Linked DNA regions of Coturnix japonica. The protein of the gene in region 1 purifies or fractionates together with the protein of each later gene. This does not show direct contact. Links are inferred from orthologs where the notes say so. Each region holds a gene or a part of one and is shown on either strand. Other genes may lie near its edges.

Region 1 (7,851 bases):
TCTGCCGAAGAGATGGACAAAGTATTTTCTGTTGTACGAGGCTGCGGGGTTTTGTGTTGCTCTTTTTTTAAAGGAAAGGTTCTTACTGAAGCACTGAACTCAAACAGGCGTTTTTGGTCTGTTCAATTATCAAAGCGGCACAGCAGCATTAACCCCCTCACTGCCCGGCACTTCAGAGGAAATCAGATTGCACACAGGAGATGAAAGCCTTCCATTGGGTCCTGAGCACCCTTCCTAACGAGCATGCCCACAGCAGAAGACAAACCCATCAGCTCCTTTGATGTGTCTCCTTTTCTTTATTCCTCATACACAAACGTGGAAATACAGCGTGGCTCCCCAGCATACAGATCAGTGCCATCAGCTGCACTCTGCTGAGTGGGAGCTGCCTGAATTCTTCCACTGTATTCTGGGCTAGTTGTTCCACTGCCACTCACACCTTTATAATTGGTCATAAAAAGCTAATACGTTTACAAGCAACACCCAAATAACCCCGGCCTACCTGAGTTCCCAGGGACACACACGTAAGGGGGGCAGGACTCGGCGCACACTGGGGAATTGTGACAGACACAGTCAAAGCAGCAAGACCCAATGATACCGGCTGCCTTGGCATTTGACACCTTTATTAGTGTGGACATGGAAATGCATCTCTTCGGCAAGGACAGTGCAAGCTGACTCATTTTATTAAAAATAATGTCAGTCCTGGCAGCCTAATTGTGTTACTTTGAAAGAGAATGGCAGGAACAGGGCCTTGCCAGCTAGCGATGCCTCGGAGATGGATGCCTCATTACAGAGCAAAGATGAGAAATTTGTCTCTAATGAATCTTTTCAAATTTCCTGGGATTTCAGCCCAGATCCCCACGCTGCAGCCCGGCTGATGGGGCAGGGGCTGCCCTACCCTGGGAACGCTCTCCCAGTGCCACCAGCAGCACAGCGGGCTCCTGTGCCCTACAGAGAGATGCACTGGATGATGTAATGTATCTTTGGCCAAAACTTACCATTGGGAAAGTGCACAATCAACACAACCACACCGTATCACACAGACCTGCAGAGTTCAACAACCATTTCCTAGGAAAAAAAAGGTATGAAATTCCCCCAAAGCCTTCTTCCACAGATAAATTTACTGTGATGTAAAACAGGCTGGTGTACGTGAAAACTGGAGCCATGTATGCTGCAAGAAGCTGCAAACAGCCACATTTTCTCCAAAGACAAAGCAATTTTTGACTCCTAATACTTGATAGAGCTGGGTTCTGCCCCGTGTAGGAGCGGGTCTGGAGCTCTCAGCAGGCAGCCCTGCAGCAGGACGGCTCGCTCTCGGTGCTGGGCTGCCCTCTGGTGAGGAGCAGAGGAGTGCTGAGAAGCAGGCAGGAGTTAAGCTGGCTGAACACTCACTGCTTCAGCACTGCCAGGGGCTGGGAAATGTATTAACAACTTGGTATTTGGGTAAGGGAAATCAGATCGGAGCGTTTAAAGCGGCAATTATTTTCACCAGTATACCTGTCCCAAGGGACCAAATGTGACTGCTAATACAATTTGGCCAAGAGGAACAAACTGCATTGATCTTAAGAACTCCAGTGCTGGCTGAGATGCTCTTTCTGGTGAATTACAGTATCTGTTTCTTGTATCAGCTGCAATCAGGAAAAGCAGTCCGTGATTACAGCCCAGTCACCTCCTATGCACATCACTTCACTTCTGCTCATCTCCAGCTTCAGTTCACAATTACTCTTGAACAACAAACAAACAAAGCAACACCACAATCATCTCTTCTTACATCATACAAACACCTCTGTTTTCTGCAGGTGGATACTCTGCACCTCACTTGTAGCTCTCTGTGCTTCCCATCACTGAAATTCCCCCAGCACATTGCTGTTACCTGCCTTGGCCTGCACTCGTTTCTCCCATCACCCACTGTAACTCAACGCACCGACAGCCGAAGCAACATGGCCCCCTGCTGTACACATGTATGGTGGTTCATTGTTGGGTGTTCACAAATACATAGATACATAGACTAAAAAAGCAATAAATATAGCCATACACAGACTTAATGGGATAAGAAATACCAATGCTAGCACCTGCAAAGGGGAATAAGTAATATATATTAGGGGTTTATATCACCATAAACTTGTATTGTGCTTGCAAGCTGATTTACTTGAAAAAGTAAAAAGCTTCAAAGGCCTGAGACTAAGACACTTCTGACACTAAGTGAGGTGGAGACATCCAGAAACATGCATTAGAATTATCTGCACTTCTGTTTACATATTTCTGCATTGATTTTATTCCAAATTCCCTTTTTACTCATCTTCCCTCATTTCTCTGAGCCTTCTCTTCCTTTCTGATCCATAAAATATTTCCACGTATTCTTTTTCCTCCTGCTCTTTTTCATGTTTATTTGATTGAGTCCCACTCCCAGCTCAGAGCCCTTTCCCTGGAACACACACTAACAAGCTGACCCAGCTCTATCAGACACTGTCTCTGAAGATAGATTGGGAAATGAAGATGTAGAGCTGTTGGAAGAGACTGGCTTCCCCAGGCACCTGTTTAGCCTGGATCATTGGATTTACTACACTGGCATCACCAACACCGATTTGACTATTAATCCCTTAAGTGCCTTAGGAACTGCAGCATAAATCCAGCCAAGGAGCACTCATACGGCCCTGAAGACCCATAGCGTTCATCCTGGCACTCCATTCATGAAAACTGATCTTTTCTTAAATAGCAATGACAACTCAAGGAGTCCCTGCTTTGTAAAAACAAGGCACCTGTTTGCTGTGGCAACATCCTACACTGCCAAGAGACCTTTCATACACGCTGTATGGGAACTGTTGAGTCCCAGCCTGAATCACTGGGCACCTGAGAAAGGACCTGCTCAGCCCTGAGAGCACAAGTGGAGGCAATTCTCTTTGTGAGTGGAAGGGTGGAGCCTGGCTGCACCTCTTACACCTCATTTAAGGGCTGACTGCCACCAGGGAAGGTTCTCTGGTTGGAGATCCCTCCTTGGTGAAGCCTGTGACCTTAATCTTCAGAGATGGGTGAGCAGACCTTTATCCTTCCTTTTTAACACCATTCTGTTGTATTAGTCCCTTTATTATTACAGCTCTTGTATCACCTTTCCATCACATTGATCTTTCTGGTTGTTACACAAACCAACCAGTGCTTGTGCTTATTAATCTGAAGGGACTGGCCTTTTTTTCTCTACAAATACACATTTATCTGCAGTTTTGTCCCTTGTTACACACTGCTTTAGTACCTCTGTGCTCCACAGCAGCACTCAACACAATGCTCACATTTCCTATGCTCTGTCATGGCAGCTCTGTCAGCCTCCTTCCCCAGGGGGCACTTAGTTACACGTGTGGCTGATACCCACCCCGTGATAGGAATACAAACACCTCTATTTTAATGTGAGCTTGGACTTGCTAAGCTGAGGAACTTGTGGTACTGTTTCCAGAGCACCTCTGTGCCAAGAGGTGTGGGAGTGCAGCAGGGCTGGAAGGGGCGAACCCCTCGGAAGAGCAGGAGATGCTGCGTGCACATGGATGTGTATCCTCGTACTAAACTGCCATGCTCAGGCCCAAAGTTCCTACTGCTGCAGGGGGCTGAGCTCGGGTTCCGTAGCCCCCACCCCGGCACACAGAGCGTTGGGAAGCGCTTGATAGAGCGGCACTGTCCTGCAGCTCCACCTGCCGCACTGGAGGGGAAGGGGGGGATGCAGCCAGGCCCGCCCCGGTCGCACACACGTCACGGCTGCGCCGGAGCATCGAGATGGAGGGTGAGTACAGGGATGGGACGGGACGGGAGGAGGATGAGGATGAGGAGGTAGATGAAGGGCCGGCTGAGCCCGCTGTCTGCCCGCAGGTGTGTTGTACAGCGGGCTGCCCCGCGAGGCGGCGAAGGAGCTATGCCTACAGGTACCGCTCCCATGTACCCCCACAGCCTCTGCCCAGCGCTGCCTCAGCTCGGCGGGCAGCCGGGCTCTAATTTAATTAAAGTCTGTTTTTAAACACCTTTAGCCCCAAGGGTCAGAGGAGGCCAGAGCGTTTGTGAGCGCCTTCCTGAAGCGCAGCATGCCCAAGAAGAAGGACGAAGCCATCCAGGATGTGCTAACGCGGAAGGCCGTGGTTCTGGAGCACCACTGCAGGAGGAGGAAGAAGCCAAAGAGAAGGAAAACAAAAACCTTCACAGCCAAACAGAGGAGGGAGCTGGGGCTGTTTGATATCGAGCCTGAGCAGCAGAGGTATGAGAGTGAGTTTGTGTGCTCTGTGGCACTAAACCACAGCACAGCTATAACCTGGGCTGCCTGTTGGATGAGCTCATCCCTGACCAGTTCTTTCCTAAGTGCTGCCACCTGTGACTTCAATTCTAATCCCCAGAATGGCTGCAACCAGTGAATCTCCATTTTGCATTATGTTCCTTGACCCAGGACATGCTGAGTAAGGCCAGTGCTGCTCCTAAAAGGAAGCAAGGGGGAGAAAGAGGAGCAGAAAGCTCTTAAACACATCCCTCCCCTTGGGTTTGTTCGGAGCATATTCAGCTTTACTTGGAGTGGTTTACTAAGTGATCTGTGCAGCTGATAACATGTGTAATTCTTAGTTTTAACTCTGCTTACTAAGACAATCTACAATATAATATATTATAATATATATAATTAAGTTATTGTAAAATATTTGCCTTCTAACTGCAGATATGAACTATTTCTACCACTACATGAACTCTGGAAGCAATACATCAGAGACCTGTGTTATGGACTTAAACCAGATGCGTAAGTTTAGCTAATCTAACCACCACCATTTTTTAAGGCATTTCAAGTAGTAATTTGATTAAACTTAAATGTCAATTATTTAATAAGGATATATGCTATTTCTGTAAGCTTTGACCAGTATTTCAATAGGCACAGTCACACCTTATAAACATGCTTTTCCATGTATTTTTTTCCCCTCTCTGATCCTACCCTTTTCTTCAAGGCAACCACAGATGGTGCAGAGCAAACTGCTGAAAGCTGACCTCCATGGAGCTGTTGTTACAGGTATTGTTTGCTTTATTCTGCAGTTATCTGAGATTTGCTGTACTTTCTTATGTTTCAGGTGCTCATTGAATTCCTTTCAGTATCAACTCTAGGATAATGTAATTGTGTTGATGGATTCTTTCTCCATTTACCAGTGCTGCTTAACTTTTCAACTGCTCTACCAGTTATCACTATAATTACTTCAGACTATTATCTCAGACTTCTAAAATGATGAGGCAATAATGGAACAGCAAACCAGCTGCACCTGAATTTATTCTAACACATTCCTATTCTTGTTCTTTCAGTCACAAAATCAAAGTGTCCATCTTATGTTGGGATAACGGGAATAATCCTACAGGAATTCAAACATGTCTTCAAGATTATTACTAAAGACAACAAACTAAAAGGTATGGCAAATGTTTTTCAGTGCTTGTTATAATGTGAGTTACTGAGAATCGATCATATTATTATACTTCTGAGTAAATGTATGAGCACATACATACATTGTTCTTTACCACTGCTTGTAATTCTTTGCATAGTGGCAGAAGTTCATGTCTTTATCTGACATGTAAAAACCCAATAATGTACCTTAGAAGTAATTTAAAAACATATTTCCAGTGATTTATAACATGATTATGCACATGGTTCATTCATCTGATTCACTGTAGATCGTTCTCTGCAACTCTTACTGCACACTTGTGAACAAGGACTGAATTCTGTCAGTTTTGCCCTTAAATGTACAGGCTGTATTGAGTGTATTTCTCACACTGCAGCATTAAACCTTGACATGTTATGAACCTGAAGCCTGCATGTGAATAGTATTCCCTGGTACACCAGTATCTATGCATAATGCTACTTCTCCATTTTTCAGTTGTTCCCAAAATTAACAACGTATTCAGTGTGGAGACTGATGGATTCATTTCCTACATCTATGGAAGCAAGTTCCAGCTTCGAGCAAGTGAGCGGTCTGCAAAGAAGTTCAAGCTGAAAGGAACTATTGACCTATGATTTCATAGCAAATCAAAAGGAAGTTTAATTAAGATGTCTGCTGTTCTCCTTCAGTTTACAAAACAGGTTTTCTGGCAGACTGAAAGACAGAGTTAACTAGCTGAGATTTTTCTGAAGTGTTTCTTCATACTGAAGAATGACTGGTTTCATCTTTAAAGCAGTCTGTCAAACTGCTGAAGTCTTAGTTGTATCTTTTACTTGTGTGTAATGTTCTGCCTTTTATTAAACTTGTGATTAGTACTGATTACCTGGTTTTTGTTTCTATTTTGACTGTATATTTGTTCAGTGAATGTTTTATCTTATAACTTGCTTACAGAGCCTGCTTCGTTCAGAAGGCAGCAATAACACCTGTCACTGTGTAAGGAGACTGCAGCTGGTAACTGCTTTTATGTGATTGCTCCTGGATCAATCATTGCTGCCTGTTCAGCTTGTATCCATGCTAGACTGAAAAACCTTATAATGAAAGCATTGGGCAAAAATGTCTTTCATGTTTACTGAGTCAGCAACAGAGGTGATTTATGCTGCAAAAGGTATCATGTCCTGGCAGGTCAATGAGAACTCCTATGAGTATCAAGAATGCTTTCTGGATTGTTTTCCGCTAAACCAGGGAATGTTTTAGTATCTGACTTCCAAGGACTGATAAATACCAAGGTCAGTAACTTTCTTATCTTAGTCTGGAACTATTTATGCTTTTTTTTCCCTAGAACTACCTACCCAAATGGAAAAATACATTGTTTGGGGTAATGGTTAAAATGCAAATGCACAAGAAGTGGAGGTGAAACCTCTAACTGAGCACATGCATTTAAACAAGCAAGACATGTCTTAAACCACAGGTGCTTCAATCAGGACAGTGCCTCACAGGTGAGAAATCATGATTCTTTCTGGGCTTGTAGCTACTTGCAATCACTAGACAAGGACTTGGATTCTGTTCACGAGTACTTTAAAGTTAACAGGCACTTAGTCGAGCTCTGAAGTAGTTACATCAAGGTATCTCCCTTTAAGCATAATTCCTCCCAAAGTTCTTTGAAATCCATTAGATTTCTCTGAGAATCCACAAGGAAATATCAACAAATTGGCAGAAAGCTTAAGTGACAGTAGAAACTTTCTCTGCAGGACAAAGGCTTCATTTTCATTTTGCTTATAGCTATCAGTGTAACATCTAATTAAGACATCTGTTAAATGCCTATAATATTAAATTAATAGAGGGAAGCTAATGGAACTTTATTGGCGTAGTCCTGTTAATTAAAGACCTTTAATAGATGTCTTAACTAGGCATCATTAATGGCAATGACACACAAATTGGAATTAGGCACGATCCCATTTCATTGTGCTGCAGAGGACATACTATATTCTGCCATACAGACACACAGATGAGCACAACAGCATTTTCCATAGCTATTGCTATTTACACTTTTCTACATTTTACTTCAGTGGCAGGAAGATGTGCTGCTTAGCAGCCCCTTTCAGTAAATAACAGTAAGGAAATAATTATTTACAGTGAATAGTGCTGGAGAGGTGTTCAGAGGTCTCTGAGGTACTTAGATGCTAGCAGCACAGATGACAAATGAAGCCTAACAAGAGATTGAACAGCCAAAGCATTCAAACTACCTTTACTGCTGTTGCTAAATCACCTGAAGAGGCATTTTTACCTCATCGAGGTGTTCCAAACATCCAAATGTAGGTTTTTTTTAATAAGAAGTTCCAGTTCCTTACTGTTCCTAATGCAGCATCTCCCACCCCACAGGAGGGCTAATCCCTGGCTCCTGCTATTTGTAATGCTCCCTCACCACACAGTAAGATTTCCATAATTAATTTCTCATTAAATCTGCAGTGATCTTACCTTGGGA
Region 2 (7,863 bases), on another chromosome or scaffold:
GAAAAGAAAACCATCTTCTCTTGTGATGTCACCTGCTTTGATGGGTCTGAAGAAACAGTGCACGATGCTGAAGGTACTTTGCTTTAATGTTTTTCTGGTTAGGCATTTCCCTGCGGTAGCAAATCACTTTGAGAACGGAGTTCTCTACGGTCTTATATCACCTTCTTAAATAAAACGGAGATAGAGCGAAGTGCAGAGAAAGCAGTTGATGAGAGATTTAGAACAACTGTTAAATAATTTTGAAGTAATTGCATAAGATGACCAGAATAGTTGACATTTCTCTGACGCTTTAAATATCTTTTTCAGCCTGGCTCAGTATAACCAGAGGAGATACTTCCATCTACAGTCTTCCTGGAGCTCACTTTTATCTGCTGGAACCTGCTAATGAAATTTTTTTGATAAAACACATAACCAAGTGTATAGAAAATGCTGCTCTATGAGTATTTCCCTCTATTTTAATAGCAGGTGTAAGGTTATTCTACCGCACTTAATCTTTAAGTCATTTTTTCTGCCGAATTGCATTGTTACCACTAAAAGTTACTCTGTTCCTGCAGAAGATCACTGTAATCCTTTAAAAGGGTTTAAAGAGTTGTTCTGATTTTTGAAACCAAACTCCAGCTTTGTGTCTTACAAATAAAACAGTTTTCATCTTTTCTCTCTCTTCTCATTCAGCAAGTGCATAAACCCCTCACTTTATTCAACATCAGCTGCAAAAAGGGACAGCTAATATAAGTTATTTTACCTTAAGAGCGTCTCTGTGTGTACTGCAAAAAATACTAAATATGATTTCATACCAAAAGAATATCCACGACTCTTACAGAAGCATTTATTTCATAGGCTCAGACTTGATTAGAGTTAAGTTGCAGTCTAAAAATACAGTATGCATGTGAACACCTTTCGCAGTGGCTCACGCGTTAATTACTGTTAGATTCCACAATAACCAGTTAGTTAGAAACTGCATTTTCCCCTGCAGAGTTAGTCCATTAACCACTGAGAAGACCCACAGTGCGATGTCCAAGTATTCTAAATCCCATATTTTTCAATCATTGCTTTTGCTTTAGAAATATAGGCAGTCATGGCATCCTCCTTCGACATACCTGCAAAGAAAAGGAGGAGTCATTATCTTTTCTTATTTGACATCCTATTGAAGTTATTACATGAGGCAAATTTAATTGCTGTAACACCTCTTTTCAGGTTCCACGCCTCCCATTTGGCTTTGCCTTTCACATCTAACATTCCTGGACATTCTGCAAAAATAAATGCATACCATCATTAATTATCATGCAGATTTATAAAACATTTTCTTGTTTTCAAGATATGGGGCAAACTGGATGTATATATGGGAACAGAAATACCAATATTAATATCTCCAACAGTAGCTTGTTTGTAGAATCCATAGAGTTCCTTCAGTTCTTCATCAGTTGGTCTTGTCTTCAGTTTTTTTACATCTTCTGCAGCCCCATCAAAGTCAGCCTAATGCAAGAAGAATATGTAAAGTATGAATTTGCCTCTGAAGGGGCGTGCTTCAAACATTTATTATAGCAAGCACAGCAGGTCACTAGATGGCTTCTATTACTTGTATATTCAGTGGTAAGCCTAGGATTTTCCCACGAACAAGATTTAATAAAACCTTTAATAAACTGATGTCAGCTCAGGCATTCAAGGCCTAAGATTTTAGTTAGCCCTGCATAGGTCAGGCAGGGGGACTTGTTGGTCTTGTAGGTCCCTTCCAAGTGAACCACTCCATTCTAAAACAAGTATTTCATTCTTAATCCCAACACCAGTAGATGCAACATACCTGACCCTGCAAATCAGCGACTTACACCACCAGCACCTCTTTGCATTACCCATACATGTACAAACAGCAGCACTCATGCTCGGTCACCAGCACGAGGAAGAGCTGGCATCAATATCAACACACAATCGAGGTGCCACAACTGACTGAAGACTGCATAAGTTTTATCTTCATCTTTACACTGTGGCCATTGCTGTGCGTAAGGCCCTGACCAGGTGGAGTAGAAGGACTGTTCAAGTGATGGAAACCTCCCATGTGCAGAGCTGTTTTCCAAACTAACGTCATAAAAAAGAATGAGCTGGAAGCATTAGGCTTGTACAGACAAGTGATAAATAAAACCAAACCAAATACAAAACCCAACTCACAGTAAGGATGCCGTTATTAGCTTCTTATTTTTCTATCCTTTTATTCTATTTATGAGAAATAGCACAAACCGCTGTTTCAAAAACATGCAATGCACACCTTGGGCAGCAATAAGTGCACGGAAATGGAATTTCCACCTCAAACATTCTTTTCTTCATCTCCCTCAATCCAACCCTTGTGCGCGGATTTTGCTTAGGATTTGCTTGCTTACACAACACGCTTAGGAGCAGCTGCAGAATATAATATCCTTTAATCACGAGCTGATGGAATTTCCCTCTCACTCCTCAAATCAAAAGCAGAAGCGTGTCTACAGTTGACATATACATATGCAGACGTAGATTTACACACGTGCATTAAAGCTAAATGCAGAAATCACAGAATCACAGAATGACCCGGGTTGGAAGGGACCTCAAGGATCATGTAGTTCCAACCCCCCTGCCTGGCAGGGCCACCAAACATACACCTTTACTAGATCAGGTTGCCCAGGGCCCTGTCCAACCTGGTCTTGAACACCTCCAAGGACGGGGCATCCACAACCTCCCAGTCACCAGACTTTATTTTCTAGCAGGAATTCGAGGCAGAACACAGCAAAATTAAACAAAAGCTGCTGTTCCGCTCGGGACTTGGCAGCCCCGGCCCATGGAGGGCGCGGGGTCAGCAGAACAACGAACCCTCTGTGCTGCGGCTCCAAGCGCTGAGCTGCGGCCAACGCGCCCCGCGACGGGGCCTCGCATACACGGAGCGAGGCGAGGCAGCATGGAAACGAAGGCAACAGAAAGGGCTGGAGGGTCTTAAAGCCAAAGGGAGAACGGAAAACCCCTTAAACAGCCGAACCAGTCCTGGGCATTTAAAGGTGGCGCAGAGGCGGAGCGCTGGAAGGCAGCGACGAAGGTGATTTCTCCAGGAGCCGCCGATACGGACAGAGGGAGGCAGCGTCCTTCCTGCCAAACCTCACTCAAAACGCAGCGCCCCAAAGACACGCACGCTCTACAAACTCCCTTAGAAACGCACGTTTCCCACAGACGCCCGTAGCGCAGCTCCCATCGATAACCCACCCGAGCAGCGGGTGCCGACACACCGCGCGGACACACCGTAACGCGCCGCTCCGCACCCCGAGCCGCAGTGCCACCGCCCGCCCCGCTCACCTGCAGGGCCATGGCCGGGCGGACACGCGCGGTCCGGTGTCGCTCCCGCAGCGCGATGCAGAGCGGGCAGCCGCCTCCCCTCGGGTCCCGCTGCCGTCACGGGGCGCTGAGCCGCTCGGGGCCGGGTTGGACGGGCCGTGGGCCAGCTGTGCTGGTGGGGGGCGGCCCTGCCCCTGGGGGTGGGGGGGCTCTGACGCCTCCTCCAACCCAAAGCATCCCGCAGCCCCGAGCCATCCGCATCACCGCCTCGCAGAGATGCGCTACAGCACCGTGACAGGATCCGAAGGGGCAGCAGCTCCCTCGCACCGCGGCTGCCCCCGCCCGGCGGCCCCGCAGCACGGCGGCGGATGGGGCGGAGCGGGACGGGGCGGGTTCGAGCTGCCGGCGTGGATCGGGCGGTACTGGCGGTGCCGGAGCGCTGGGCCCGGTGGTAGCGCGGCGTGGAGGCCGCGCTGAGCCGAGCGGCAGCTCCATCTCCATCTCCGTCCGTCCGGCCTGTTGTCAGGGCGCTGTGGTGGCTCCTGCCTTTAACTGCGTTGTCCTGGTCGGGAGCCGGCGGGGCCTTCCACGAGGCGTTTGGAAACCGGAGTGTTGGAATGGAGGTAAATGTTGGAATTGTTCGCGTTTCTCAGCTCCTCTGCTGGCAGCGGCGGGTCCTGCGGCTGATCGGCCTGGAAGAAGTTGGGTTTTGCTTGTTGTGCCCCGTCAGTTTGATTCCTGTGCCTACACGATTGTTTTCCTCAGTAGCCTCCATCTTGAAAAGACAGACGCGGGCTGCTTCAGCGTGTGCTCTCACATACACAACATACACAACAAAGGTGTTCTTTTAAAACCAAGGTAGTCTGTTATCAGCATGCAGGGAATTGATGTGATATAAATGGTGCCTTATAAATATCTAAAGGTTGCCACTGAAGTAATGTTTGTAATATTTCTACTTATGGAAGGAGGGGATCTAAGGAGAGCCGTGTCTGTTCCTCCTGAGTTGGCACACAAGTTCTCATCACGTTCTGTTGGCTGTGCAATGTAAAGCAGGAGATGCTGAACAGTAACCCAGGTTTGAGTATGGGGACTTAGTGAGTGGGCAGGGCTGGTAATCAGAGCATGCCTTCACTTGGACTGGATAGAGCAGAACTGGAACAGTGACCCTTTCTTTGCACCACTTTGATTTTTTCATAACCCTAAAGGCACGGCCTAGTTGATGCAGGAGTCAAAGAACCCTTCTGAATGTTCCATGGCCTGCAGAGGATTGCTTTCCTCCACAGAAATGTGCTCTGCAGCCTTCTGTCATACCTTCTAAATGCAGATAAATGTAAGACATAGATAAGTGAGAAAAAACACATGAAAATTAAAAAAACCCACAACTTTATCCCAAATGAATTCAGGAACTTGGAGATTGTTTCATGCTGCGATTCTGCAGCTTTATCACATCAGGATAGTTCTAAAATGGAGCTGTGCAGCAATGAAAACTTGTCTTTCACAACCTGAGCTTTATTATTAACATTATCTGTGGGACTTCCTGCTACTTCCATTCAGTTTCAGCTTCAGAAAGGTTTCCCATCACTGGCATTGCCTTGCTGGAAAAAAGCAAGCAACCTGTGCCCTGCTGGAGGATTATTAAGCACTGATATATATATAGCACTGAGCTGCTATAAAGGTGATTCCTGCCAGTATTGCTTTGAGCTGCTTTTTTCCCCCATTCCCAAGAGGAGCCTCTTGTAACAAAGTCCACAGCAGACAGTGCAGGATTTGAACGACTCTCTGCCTTTTTCTTCCCTCCACAGCTAGGTGGCGAAACAGAACAGAACCTGAGGACGCCTGTCATTCCACAAGGGACGGCGTCGCTTCGTAAAGCAAAGAAAACCACTGTAAAAACGTGTCTAGATAACCCCTTTGTTTTCGAATGGAAAGCCATAGATGGAGATGGTATGCATTTCATATTGCAGACCTTAGAAGAAAAGATTAAACGTATCGGACTTAAAAAGATAGAGACTCCAAGAAAGAAAAAACGTTCTACAAAAAACCAAGTGGAAAGCAAGTGTGATGGTAGCAACAGCGAACTCCCTGCTGAAAAAGAAACTGAAGGCCATCGACAAGCACTGGGATGGACTGACGTGGGCATCAGGAGGCAGCTTGCTATTGGAATTAATGAAGTTACAAAAGCGTTGGAGAAAAACGAGCTGCTTCTCTTGTTGGTGTGCAAATCTGCCAAACCTGCCATGATCACATCCCATCTCATCCAGCTGAGCGCGAGTCGAGCCACGCCAGCAGGCCAGGTTCCCCGCCTCAGTGAAACGGTAGCACCGCTTCTTGGCTTAACATCCATTTTAGCGCTCGGCTTCAAAAGGCAGTCTGATAAGTTCACTGACGTAGTAGAAGCGATAATTCCAAAGATACCTGCTTTGGAAGTGCCGTGGTTTCAGTTCCAAACAGAAGGATCTGCTGCATGTGCGGAGTTGTCAGAAATTGATGAAGCTGAGCAGCTTGCAGAGACGCCGGAGGAGGAGCTCTCAAGCCAGAAGCGGAAGCGTTCAGAAAGCAATCAGCTCCATCTCTCACATGTAATTTTGCAGCCTTTGAAAATCAAGAAAGTTGTTCCAAATCCAAATAAGATAAAGAAGCCACCTCGCAGAAAGAAAAAAGCTTTTTCAGCATGACTGATTTTAGTTCAGTTCTTCAGAGCACTGTGATTGTTTTTTACTGCCTATGGAGTACAGCTGTAACTGAACTACTTTGTTCTGCTTTAGCAGTGTAAAGCAGTTAACTCAGGTTAACTCATGTATGATGCATCCAGGTGAGGTTCTGTCTGCTTTAATAAAGAATGTGGCTCCAAGTTGTGTGTGAGCCTCTATCTGGAGATAAATATTTCATTTGCAGTTGGAGATCACAAAGTTGAGACTGTTAATGAACGTCTTGAAGTAATGTGAGGATAACAAGCGCATCTTTAGAATTAATACTAAGTGCTAAGCAAACTTTGTATGTTTTTTTTACATGTGAACATGCTTTAGACAGAACTGATTGAAATTAATGTCATTACACATAAAAAAAAAATAATACCAAAACTGAAAGTTTATTTAAACAAGGTCCATGCCAGTATAACTTTTAAAGCTGGTTCAATGCTTGTTTCAAGTAAACAGCTGTAACAGCACAGGCAGACTTTCCTTTCTGAGCTCTTGTCCTTTTCTCTGCTGAACAATAAGCTTGTTTTGGTCAAGAATGTACGCAGGCTTGGACTCCAACTCTACCTGCTGCCTGATACGCTGAAGGAAAAGTGTTATTTTCATACATGGAACAAAATACTGCTGCATTTTGGAAAAACAAACCCCTATATGCAAACACATGTATCCCATGAGAAAACATGAACTAATCTACGCTCGGTTTCTAAATGGAGTCTAAAATTATCATCCAGGAAGTTCAGAGATGCCGAGTACCGCTGAATGTAAAGTAGCAGGTGACAGCTATAGTCACTACAACAGTCTAAAAGTCTTTATAGAGTTTCCTTTAATTTTACTGATGACTGTGAACAGTTTCTTAATGAAACTGTTTTGTAGGCAGGAAATAAATAGCGCTGCAATTCAAACTGCAATCAAAACGGATAGCGCAGGAGTTGATTTGGCACTCTGCAGCTAATAGTCAGCACTGCAGTACTGGAAAAGAGCTGAGTTACTTTGCTGTTCCTCAGGGATGGAATTTACACCCTGTAGGTTTCAGGGCTCTGCTAACGTAGTCTTCGCTGCTATCAGCCAGTTTGGATTTATTGAGAAGTGACTTAAATTCATGGTTGTGACTATGAAGGGAGGCAGTAGCGATGATTCTGTAGTCACGATGCTCCCTGTAAACAAAGCAGACATTCGATGCCAAAATGTTGCCCTTCCTTGCTGAGGGTGGCAAGGAGATTGTTTTATTGTGCCTTGCTTCATAGTCCTTCCCAGAGGTCATTTACTTTGGCTTTTTAGATGCATAAAATAGCGAAGGCGTGCTAGAACCTAGCATAATTAATTCCCATGCTGGCTAATTGTAACATCTAGCTCTTAGTCTTTACAGAAAGCATGAGGATTAGGCTTTGGTAAAGAACATAAGCACAGCAATTGCTTATCAAGCACCCTGCTGCCTGTCCAGGTCTACAGCTCTCCCAAAGGATTTGGGTCCTTTCCACAGATGCAAAGTTACTTAACAAACTGCAGATGTTTCTAAAGACTTGTGGGAAACGGAGTAGAGCCTTTCCAATGCCTTCAAATTTGCCAATTTTGGTGAAACCATCCGTTAGTTTTTTGCAGTTTTACCTGGTAGCCATTCTTATCAAGCCTAATGCACGTGAAGGTTCAACACCCGAAACAGCACTAGAGCCTCTGTCAGAGCTGACAGCAGCACCCACACCAATGCCCTGCTTAGGAAGTGAAGGTGGGCTGCCATAATTTCCACCAGGACACCTTTGAGACTCACATTCTCTTGAAGCTATGGTACTTGAGCAAAGCACTGGAGGTAAGGAGCATGGCTGGCTGTAAGGGCTGAGCACTTGACAGGGACAGACCTTTTTGCACTGAACAGCTATTAAGCGATGTT
Region 3 (7,236 bases), on another chromosome or scaffold:
CAATTATATATATATGTATTTTTTTCCCCTCTTTTGTGGATAAGTGACAGGAGGCATGCGGAGGATGTTAGAGAGATCAGGGCAGCTGAAGGGGTTAGAAAAGAGCAGTGGCTCTTAGCATGGAGCACGGCACGCAGAAGCATGCAAAGAACAGGCAAAACTCCAGGAGGGATCCAGTCCGTGTCACCAACTTGGCCGTGGGGCATTTGGGAACCAACAAAGGGGCTGTGAGGAGCTTAGGTCTGCAAGAAAAGCCCCTTGGATGTCAAGACACTCAGAGTGCCTTCGCTGGTGGCAAATCCTCCACCAAAGCTGTTCTAGTGCCTGATTTAGTGGTTGGCAACCCTGCTCATGGCAAAGGGGTTGGAACTGGATGATCTTTAAGGTCTCTTCCAAACCAAATTCTATTGATTCTTCCATTCTATGAAATCTGGGAGTTGCTGCAGCCCTACCCCATCCCCAGTGGGTTTGGGCACGAAGGTCTGGAAGGGGACAAGGCACACCACCCCTGTTTGGCTCGTGTTGAGCACACAGCCAACCCCGACTCACGCATCCAGAGGTAGTAGAGCCGCTTGGCCATGGTGCGGTGCTGCGGCGGGATCTCAGCGTCAAAGTCCTGGTAGAAACATGGCTTCAGGGGGATGAACTTGGGGAGCGGTGGGAAGTTATTCACCTTTTCTACAACAAGAAATCCCATTAATGAGGGGCGATGAGTGCAAAACAACCCAACCCCCCCCCCCACCTAGATTAGCCGTACCTGCCATGCTGGCACAGTCAGAACTCCTTGCTCTGTAGAGATGAGGGAAAGCAGCCGAGAGCTGCGTCAGAGCTGGAGGGAAGGCAGAGGACACAGATGGAGGCACTGAGGGGAGTGGGGCTGCTCCCCAGCTGCCCCCATTCCCCAAACTCTCCCCTCCCCCCTTCGGGCTCAGCACAGGGCCCGACTTAGCGCGGACACCTGGCTCAATCCCGGCTCCCTCCCCGCTTAGCACCCTGCCGATTAGCACAGCCTCCAGCCGCGTGGTTCGGCCCACGCACAGCAGCGGGGCTCCCTCAGCTCCATCCCCGCAAGGAAATGGCCTCACCGAGAGGCGAAAACCCACGGAAAGCGAAGGGACACCCACGCGGCGCGTTCCCCACTGGGCTCCAGCGGCCTCCCCGTGCCCTCCCGGTGCCCTCCCCGTGCTGCACGACACCCCCCCCCCCGCCCATCAGCCCCTTGGCCGTCACGAGCGGGTCCCCACGCACAGCACCGCTCCCACGCGTCGCGTCGCGGGTGGCGGCGGCCGCCCGGCGCCGCTCTTGCCGCAGCGGCCGCGCTCTCGCGAGACTACGCCGTCACCCGCCCGCCCCGCCAACGGGGCAGCACTCCGGATCTCGCGAGATAAGTTGGAACTGTCCAGGGTCCTGCCGCCGCCGAGCGTGGAGTGAATAGGGACGGGGGCCTATAGGGGGCCGAAGGCAGAGCTCGGGCTGAGAGCTGTAGGTCGTGGGAGACCCCCTATGGGGTACGGGGGCAGCAGGGCAGGAGAGACTCCAAATGAAGGAGTTTGGCATATTCCATATGGTTGGGTGACCTTCTGTAGGGGATGGAGAAATAGTTCATAGCTCTATTTGGGTCAGGGGAAGCTCTGGATGGAGCAGGGTAAGCTCCATATGGATTGAGGCAGACCCTCTATGGGGCAAGAGTTTGTCAGGCTCCACATGGGGCGTATGGATTCGAGACACTACACAGGGCAAGGGAGATCCTCCATGGGCAAGAGTTCAACAGCCACCATATGGGGGAGAACCTCCATAGGGTTTAAGTTGTGTATGCATTAGGATCAACCCTATGCAGGTCATGGATATGGTGAAATCCATATGTAACAAGGAGACCCTCTATGTAGTGTGATATGTATGGAGGGCAATAGCATCAGGGCGGCACCAGAATTAACATATCGCCAAGACTTGGTTGCTGCACCAACACTGAGAAGGGCATATTCTCCTCCTAGTCAGAGTATAACTAGCACAGTAAGGGGGACAGCCCAGCCATGACCCAGAGATTCATACCTGAGCTGAGGATAGTGGTCAAGCCCAACCAAGACCCCAGATCAACTGGCACATCTCTAGTAGATCCACACTCTCAAGGTCAAGCCATGAAGTAAGCCCAGCAGCCAGGACCAGCAATAGCTAAGCAGCTCTCCAGTCAACCCGTAGATTGAGGTCCATATGAGTAGCACCAGAAACAAGCTTAGCTATCCCTAAATGGGAGACCAGCTCACAATAGATCCCAAATTAGAGCTGAAAGCTGTAAATATGAGCTTACACAGGGCTTTGGGACCATACAAAGGTTGTGGGGCTGGGGTCCCTCAATTATTCCTCTTGCTCGTTGTGTTATGGCTTTACAAAGGGGTTTCAGTGGGGAGCCAGATGCATAGTGTCTCGCTTAGGGATGTCACTGTTATAGGTGCTGTCCCACGTGCAATGTGACGAGCACCTGAGACCTGAGCCACCCCGATGTGACGCAGAGATGGACGGAGACTTTCCTCATATCGCATGCTTCAACTTTCCGAACTGCTCCCACATTCAGCAGATGAAAGAAAATATAGCGAGGGCAGGTGGAGGGCAGGGGCTCACGTTACTGCTGCTCCAGCTTTCACCATCTCTCTCTCCTGTTTTAACCGATTCCCTGTACTTTTCATGTAGTGCTTTTATCCCCTCAGCCCTCCTTTTGTCCCTTTCCCATCCTGCTGCTCCTCAGCTTGGAATAACTGCTGTTGTCCTCCAGCAAACACACAGTGACAGGGTAATGAATGGCTTCAGATGGTAATTAGCGATGGAGCTGCTAATAACACGATTCATTTCCATTTTAAGTGCCGCAGAACGCTGCGATAAAATGGACCACGGGTGGCAGGATTTGATCCCACAGCGCAGTTTTCCTCCCTGCTGTGTGAATGGTTGTTGAAATCCTTCCTTGTTATTTTCCTAGGGGCTTTAGCATCTTTCAGAAGCAGTGTTTTGCCACAGAGGCTTTAATCTGTTTCAGCCACGCCATTGGCTCTGCCTCAGTTTCTCCTCTTGGGGTTGTCCCAACAGTGGTACCCACTCTTGCTGCATTGGGGCAGCGGGGATGGGGCTGGCCGATCCATTCATTTATTTATGGATTTTGCAAGCCCTATTCGGGGTGAAAATAATCCCAGGTCCTCCAGAGGCCGATAAGATTTGGCAGCAAGGCAATACTCGGCATCTCTTTCCACTGTGCAATGATCCGGAGGCTGGGGCGGGGGGAGCAGGGGACAACTGCTGCTGTTTGCGGGCGGCTTGGTGTCCTTGAGAGAAGGGACGAGGTTCTCTTTAAGGGGGCAGGACTTGGGGAGCATCACAAAGCCAGGAGAGAGCTTCTCCCTCTGCCCACCCAGGGATGGAAGCAGCAGCAGGGTGCTGGGATGGGAGGCTGAGCGAGGGGAGGAGGAGGAGGAGAAGGAGGGGAGGGAGGGGAGGGAGAGGGGGAGGATCTGCTAATTACACAGAACAGCTCTGGGGGCTGCTGAAGTCCAGAATGAAGCAAAGAGCGGCAGAAGCAAGCGCTGCAGAGGGAACAGAGGAGCCTGAGCACTGCCGAGAGCTGCAGCCAGCAGCGAACGGGGGCACCCAGGGGATCCTACAGCTCTGGCCTCCCCTGGGGACAGCCAGCACCAGGACGAGGAGAGGGGAAGGGGCTGGGGGTCCTGGGGACGTGACGTTGGAGCTGGAGGAAGGCAGCGGGGGCTAAGTGTGGGGTGAGGGATGGCGGCCAAGCCCATTGCCCAGTGTAGGATGGAGAACTTCCGAAAGGTCAGGACGTCAGAGGAGGACAGCCCCTTGCCCTTCCCTGACTTACCCCCAGGTGTGGTGGAGATGAAAGTGAAGGAGGGCAGCAAGATCAGGAACCTGATGAGCTTCGCCATGGCTCAGATGGAGCTGAAGGGCAGCAGGCAGATTGTCTTCAGCGGCTGCGGCAGAGCGGTCACCAAGACCATCACCTGCGTGGAGATCATGAAGAGAAAGCTGGGGGGTCTGCACCAGGTCACCAAGGTACGCTACAAAACCTTGCTGGAGGTCTGGGAGAACCAGGACCCGCTGCCTGGCACTGCAGCACAGAATCTGACCGTCCATAAGAACGTCCCTTCCATCTGCATCCTGCTCTCCCGTGACCCCCTGGACCCCAACCAGACGGGCTACCAACCCCCTGAGCCCAGAGAGGCAGGAGAAGACCCCACGAGCTCCTCGGCCAAGGGGCTGAAGCGGCCCCCACCGCCTGCCCGTGAGGAACTGCTGCCCAAGAAGCTGCAGGTAGCGGGAGCCAGCAGCCCGCAGGGCTCGGGGACAACAGACAGCCAGATGGACGGCCACTACTGACCCTATGACATGCTCACAGCAGGGTCTGGGGGGGCTACTGACCCCACGCAGAACACATCCTTGTATCCCACTGGCTCCCCATTTTATGAAGGGCGGCTGCAGTGTGTAGGTCTGTGGGAAAACCTCCCCTCTCCAAACTTTTCCTCCCTTTTGCCTGGTGCTGCGAGCACTTGTAGGGATGCGGAGCTACTCGTGCCTCCTGTCAGCCCTGCTAAATAGCCCCCTGCACAGCAGACCTCCAGGACTCCCATAGAGCTGAAGCATCCTTTGGATTCTCCCCAGATTGGGAAATGCAGCTGCATGCCTCCGCTCTGCATCGGGATGTCTCAGCCAGCTGCAAAGAGCCCATCAGAGTAACACCTTCATTGCAATTAACCCCCGAGAGGAGCTGTCAGGTTTATTAATGCTGGGCTCCGTGCCTCGTGGCTCCTGTGATTCATCCTGAATAGCACAAACAAGCAGATGGGTCCTGCTCCCTCTCACCCAGCTCCCTGCTTTGTCTCTGCTCCTTCCTCTCCTCTGTGGCATCGTTGCTATTTTGTGCTTTGCTCTGAAATACCCCAAGCTGATCCTTCCTCTCTCAGAACTGCTGCAGCCTGAGAGCCAAAGAAACAAGCCCTGGAGCACTGCTGTTCATTTCAATAGCAGCCCCTCCAGTGAACAGGAATGGAAATAACCCCTCTTCCCACATCATATATTCAAGTTTTTCCTCTCCCGGAGGTGTTTGCAGCCATGGTGAAAGCATGATGACGAAGACAACAGGGAGCATCAGGTGGATCATCTACAAGCTGATGGACAGATGCTGGGATGAAGAGGAACTTTGTAGGTTTGGCTGCGGATTATTCGCTATGGGCTGGCTCCCCAGAATAGCCCTTTGGAGTGAAACACCCGCTTTTTCTATGGGTAAAAGGAAACCAATGGAAAATAAAAGCTCTTTAGAAATAATTGAAGTATGTCTATGGGGAAATGGGGGGGGTGAGGGTGGGGGTCGTCTTTGCCACTGACCATGGCACAGATGGGTACAGTGAGGGCGAGACTGTGGCTGCTGCTGAGGCAGAACAAGGGGATCCTGGCCAAATCCTGCCTCTTGGGGATGAGGAATCAGGGCCAGCTTCTTTGCATGCCCTGGCAGTCATCTGGCCCCAGCTGACATGGCAAAGCCCCCCATGGAGCTCCATCTGCCCCACGTCAGCCCCTTGCCATCACGTGGGGACCAAAGCAATGCAGAGATGGGTTGTGGGAGGCCAACTGAACCCAAATCCACCTGGGTCCCCTGCCCAAGCAGGACAGATTCAGTTGGCTCCAGACAACGCAGCCTTGGGATGGAGTCAGCGGACATCACTGCTTTGCCAAAGGCTGGCTTGGAAAGTGCTTTGTTTGGCTGGGAGAGGGAATGGAAGGAGACCAGGGGAGCGAGAAAGAAGAGGAAGGGGGAGTAAAGGGGGGTGGGTTGTTTGGCAATGACCTTGTTATCTGTCTCAGCAGGCAGCTGCTCCTCTGGGCCGGAGGCTTGTGCTTATCTGCCCTGCCACAGATTGATTCATTTCACTTATCTACCACCATGTAATTGAACATTAATTTCCATTTGTTTTCTTATTTTTGTGGGGCTTTCATTCCCAGAAAGGAGGGGTTGGCATAAGAATTGGAGGGGACCGAACAGACCCCAGAATCAAATCCATGCACAGCTCAGCGGCGCTGGCCAGGTGCTGTGCATGCGATGCAGTCTGAGGCCAACAAGCCATTGCAGAACAGGCTGTAGCGTGCCCTCAGCCCCACAAGTAGATCAGCAGAAGCCCTCAGAGCAGCATCTTGCACCAGTTTCCATCTTGAACGAGGTTAATGAAGAACTGTGCATAACGAGATGGGGAAATCCGGGTTATGACACTCTACCTCAGTGATCGCAGATAGGGATTTCTGATCTCCTAACCAGCAGGACCCCAAAGCCTCAGCCTTGGTAAAAGCCAGGGGTTTTTGGTCTCCTAACCAGCACCAGCAGGACTTTGGGGGCAGAACTCAATAAGCAACTCAATCTAAGCATGAAGACTTTAGAGAACTAACAGTCCTTCAGCCAGCTCACGTTGCCCCCAGCAAGGAGAAAGGCAAGGAGAAAAAGAGAGAGGGAAAAAAAAGCCACTTATTTCACCATATTATTTTGTTAATGTCCAAAAATGACTGTTAATTGATTCAGTACACAGGCAATTTGGAGGCAACAGGAGGCTGGGGATTACAAATGCTTCGCATTGCTGGCTGCGTACCAAGGATTTCCTGCATGAAGAAATAGTTAAAACAGAATAAAAACGGACTGCAACTCCGAATATGAAGCATTTATAAATAGCAGGATGGCATCTGGCTCCACAGGGTCCTAAGGGGGTATTGTGAGTGAAAACAGAGCGGCTGATTGTCTGCTGTGGAGGCACAGCCCAAAGCGCCTACGAATTGTAATCTGGGGGTCATTTTGTGAGCTATAGGGATAGTGGCACAGCCTCACAGTGGCCTCAGCTGTGGGCAGCACACTGGTGTGTGTTTAGGGATGGGGATGCAATGGGTCTCACCAACACAAGCATCCACCTCGGGCTCACTGATGCTCTGAAGACAGCCTGGCAGCAGGGATTCCCTTTGGGAAAGCCAGGCTGCATTCAGCCGTGGAAAGCCTTTAATGCCAAGCAGCTGCAGGCCCTGATAGCCACCAAAGCATGGAGGGCCCTGAGGGCTCTGCCTCCCTCTGAGAAGCCAAGCTGCTGCTGTGCTAACCCAGCTGCTGGGCTGCTAACAGCGAGCAGTCTATTGCCAGGAAGGGCTCCATCCCCTCACAGCATGGCTGCCTATGGGCAGCTGATCCCTGGGGGATCTCGATTTAAA

What was found. Proteins that work in one complex are often made in the same cells at the same time.
Region 2: the proteins of POP4 (region 1) and RPP38 purify together in Homo sapiens (affinity purification with mass spectrometry; 4 studies listed by BioGRID and IntAct, counting the BioPlex papers as one, with this or other methods). This does not show direct contact. The link is inferred for Coturnix japonica from reciprocal best matches to the Homo sapiens genes POP4 and RPP38.
Region 3: the proteins of POP4 (region 1) and RPP25 purify together in Homo sapiens (affinity purification with mass spectrometry; 3 studies listed by BioGRID and IntAct, counting the BioPlex papers as one, with this or other methods). This does not show direct contact. The link is inferred for Coturnix japonica from reciprocal best matches to the Homo sapiens genes POP4 and RPP25.

The regions. Positions count from the first base shown.
Region 1 is NC_029526.1:7,092,420-7,100,270, forward strand, and holds POP4 (ribonuclease P protein subunit p29), read left to right. Parts: upstream 1-3,638; 5' UTR 3,639-3,756; coding exon 3,757-3,763; intron 3,764-3,849; coding exon 3,850-3,902; intron 3,903-3,983; exon of another isoform or gene 3,984-4,004; coding exon 4,005-4,228; intron 4,229-4,675; coding exon 4,676-4,753; intron 4,754-4,955; coding exon 4,956-5,017; intron 5,018-5,301; coding exon 5,302-5,403; intron 5,404-5,867; coding exon 5,868-6,004; 3' UTR 6,005-6,249; downstream 6,250-7,851. UniProt on the Homo sapiens protein: Component of ribonuclease P, a ribonucleoprotein complex that generates mature tRNA molecules by cleaving their 5'-ends.
Region 2 is NC_029517.1:18,767,824-18,775,686, reverse strand, and holds RPP38 (ribonuclease P protein subunit p38), read left to right. Parts: upstream 1-3,649; 5' UTR 3,650-3,899; coding exon 3,900-3,905; intron 3,906-5,084; coding exon 5,085-5,957; 3' UTR 5,958-6,133; downstream 6,134-7,863. Other genes in the region: ACBD7 (acyl-CoA-binding domain-containing protein 7), read right to left, coding at 1,024-1,097, 1,185-1,247, 1,356-1,473, 3,304-3,315. UniProt on the Homo sapiens protein: Component of ribonuclease P, a ribonucleoprotein complex that generates mature tRNA molecules by cleaving their 5'-ends. Also a component of the MRP ribonuclease complex, which cleaves pre-rRNA sequences.
Region 3 is NC_029525.1:1,713,801-1,721,036, forward strand, and holds RPP25 (ribonuclease P protein subunit p25), read left to right. Parts: upstream 1-3,490; 5' UTR 3,491-3,765; coding exon 3,766-4,377; 3' UTR 4,378-5,322; downstream 5,323-7,236. Other genes in the region: SCAMP5 (secretory carrier-associated membrane protein 5), read right to left, coding at 550-580. UniProt on the Homo sapiens protein: Component of ribonuclease P, a ribonucleoprotein complex that generates mature tRNA molecules by cleaving their 5'-ends. Also a component of the MRP ribonuclease complex, which cleaves pre-rRNA sequences.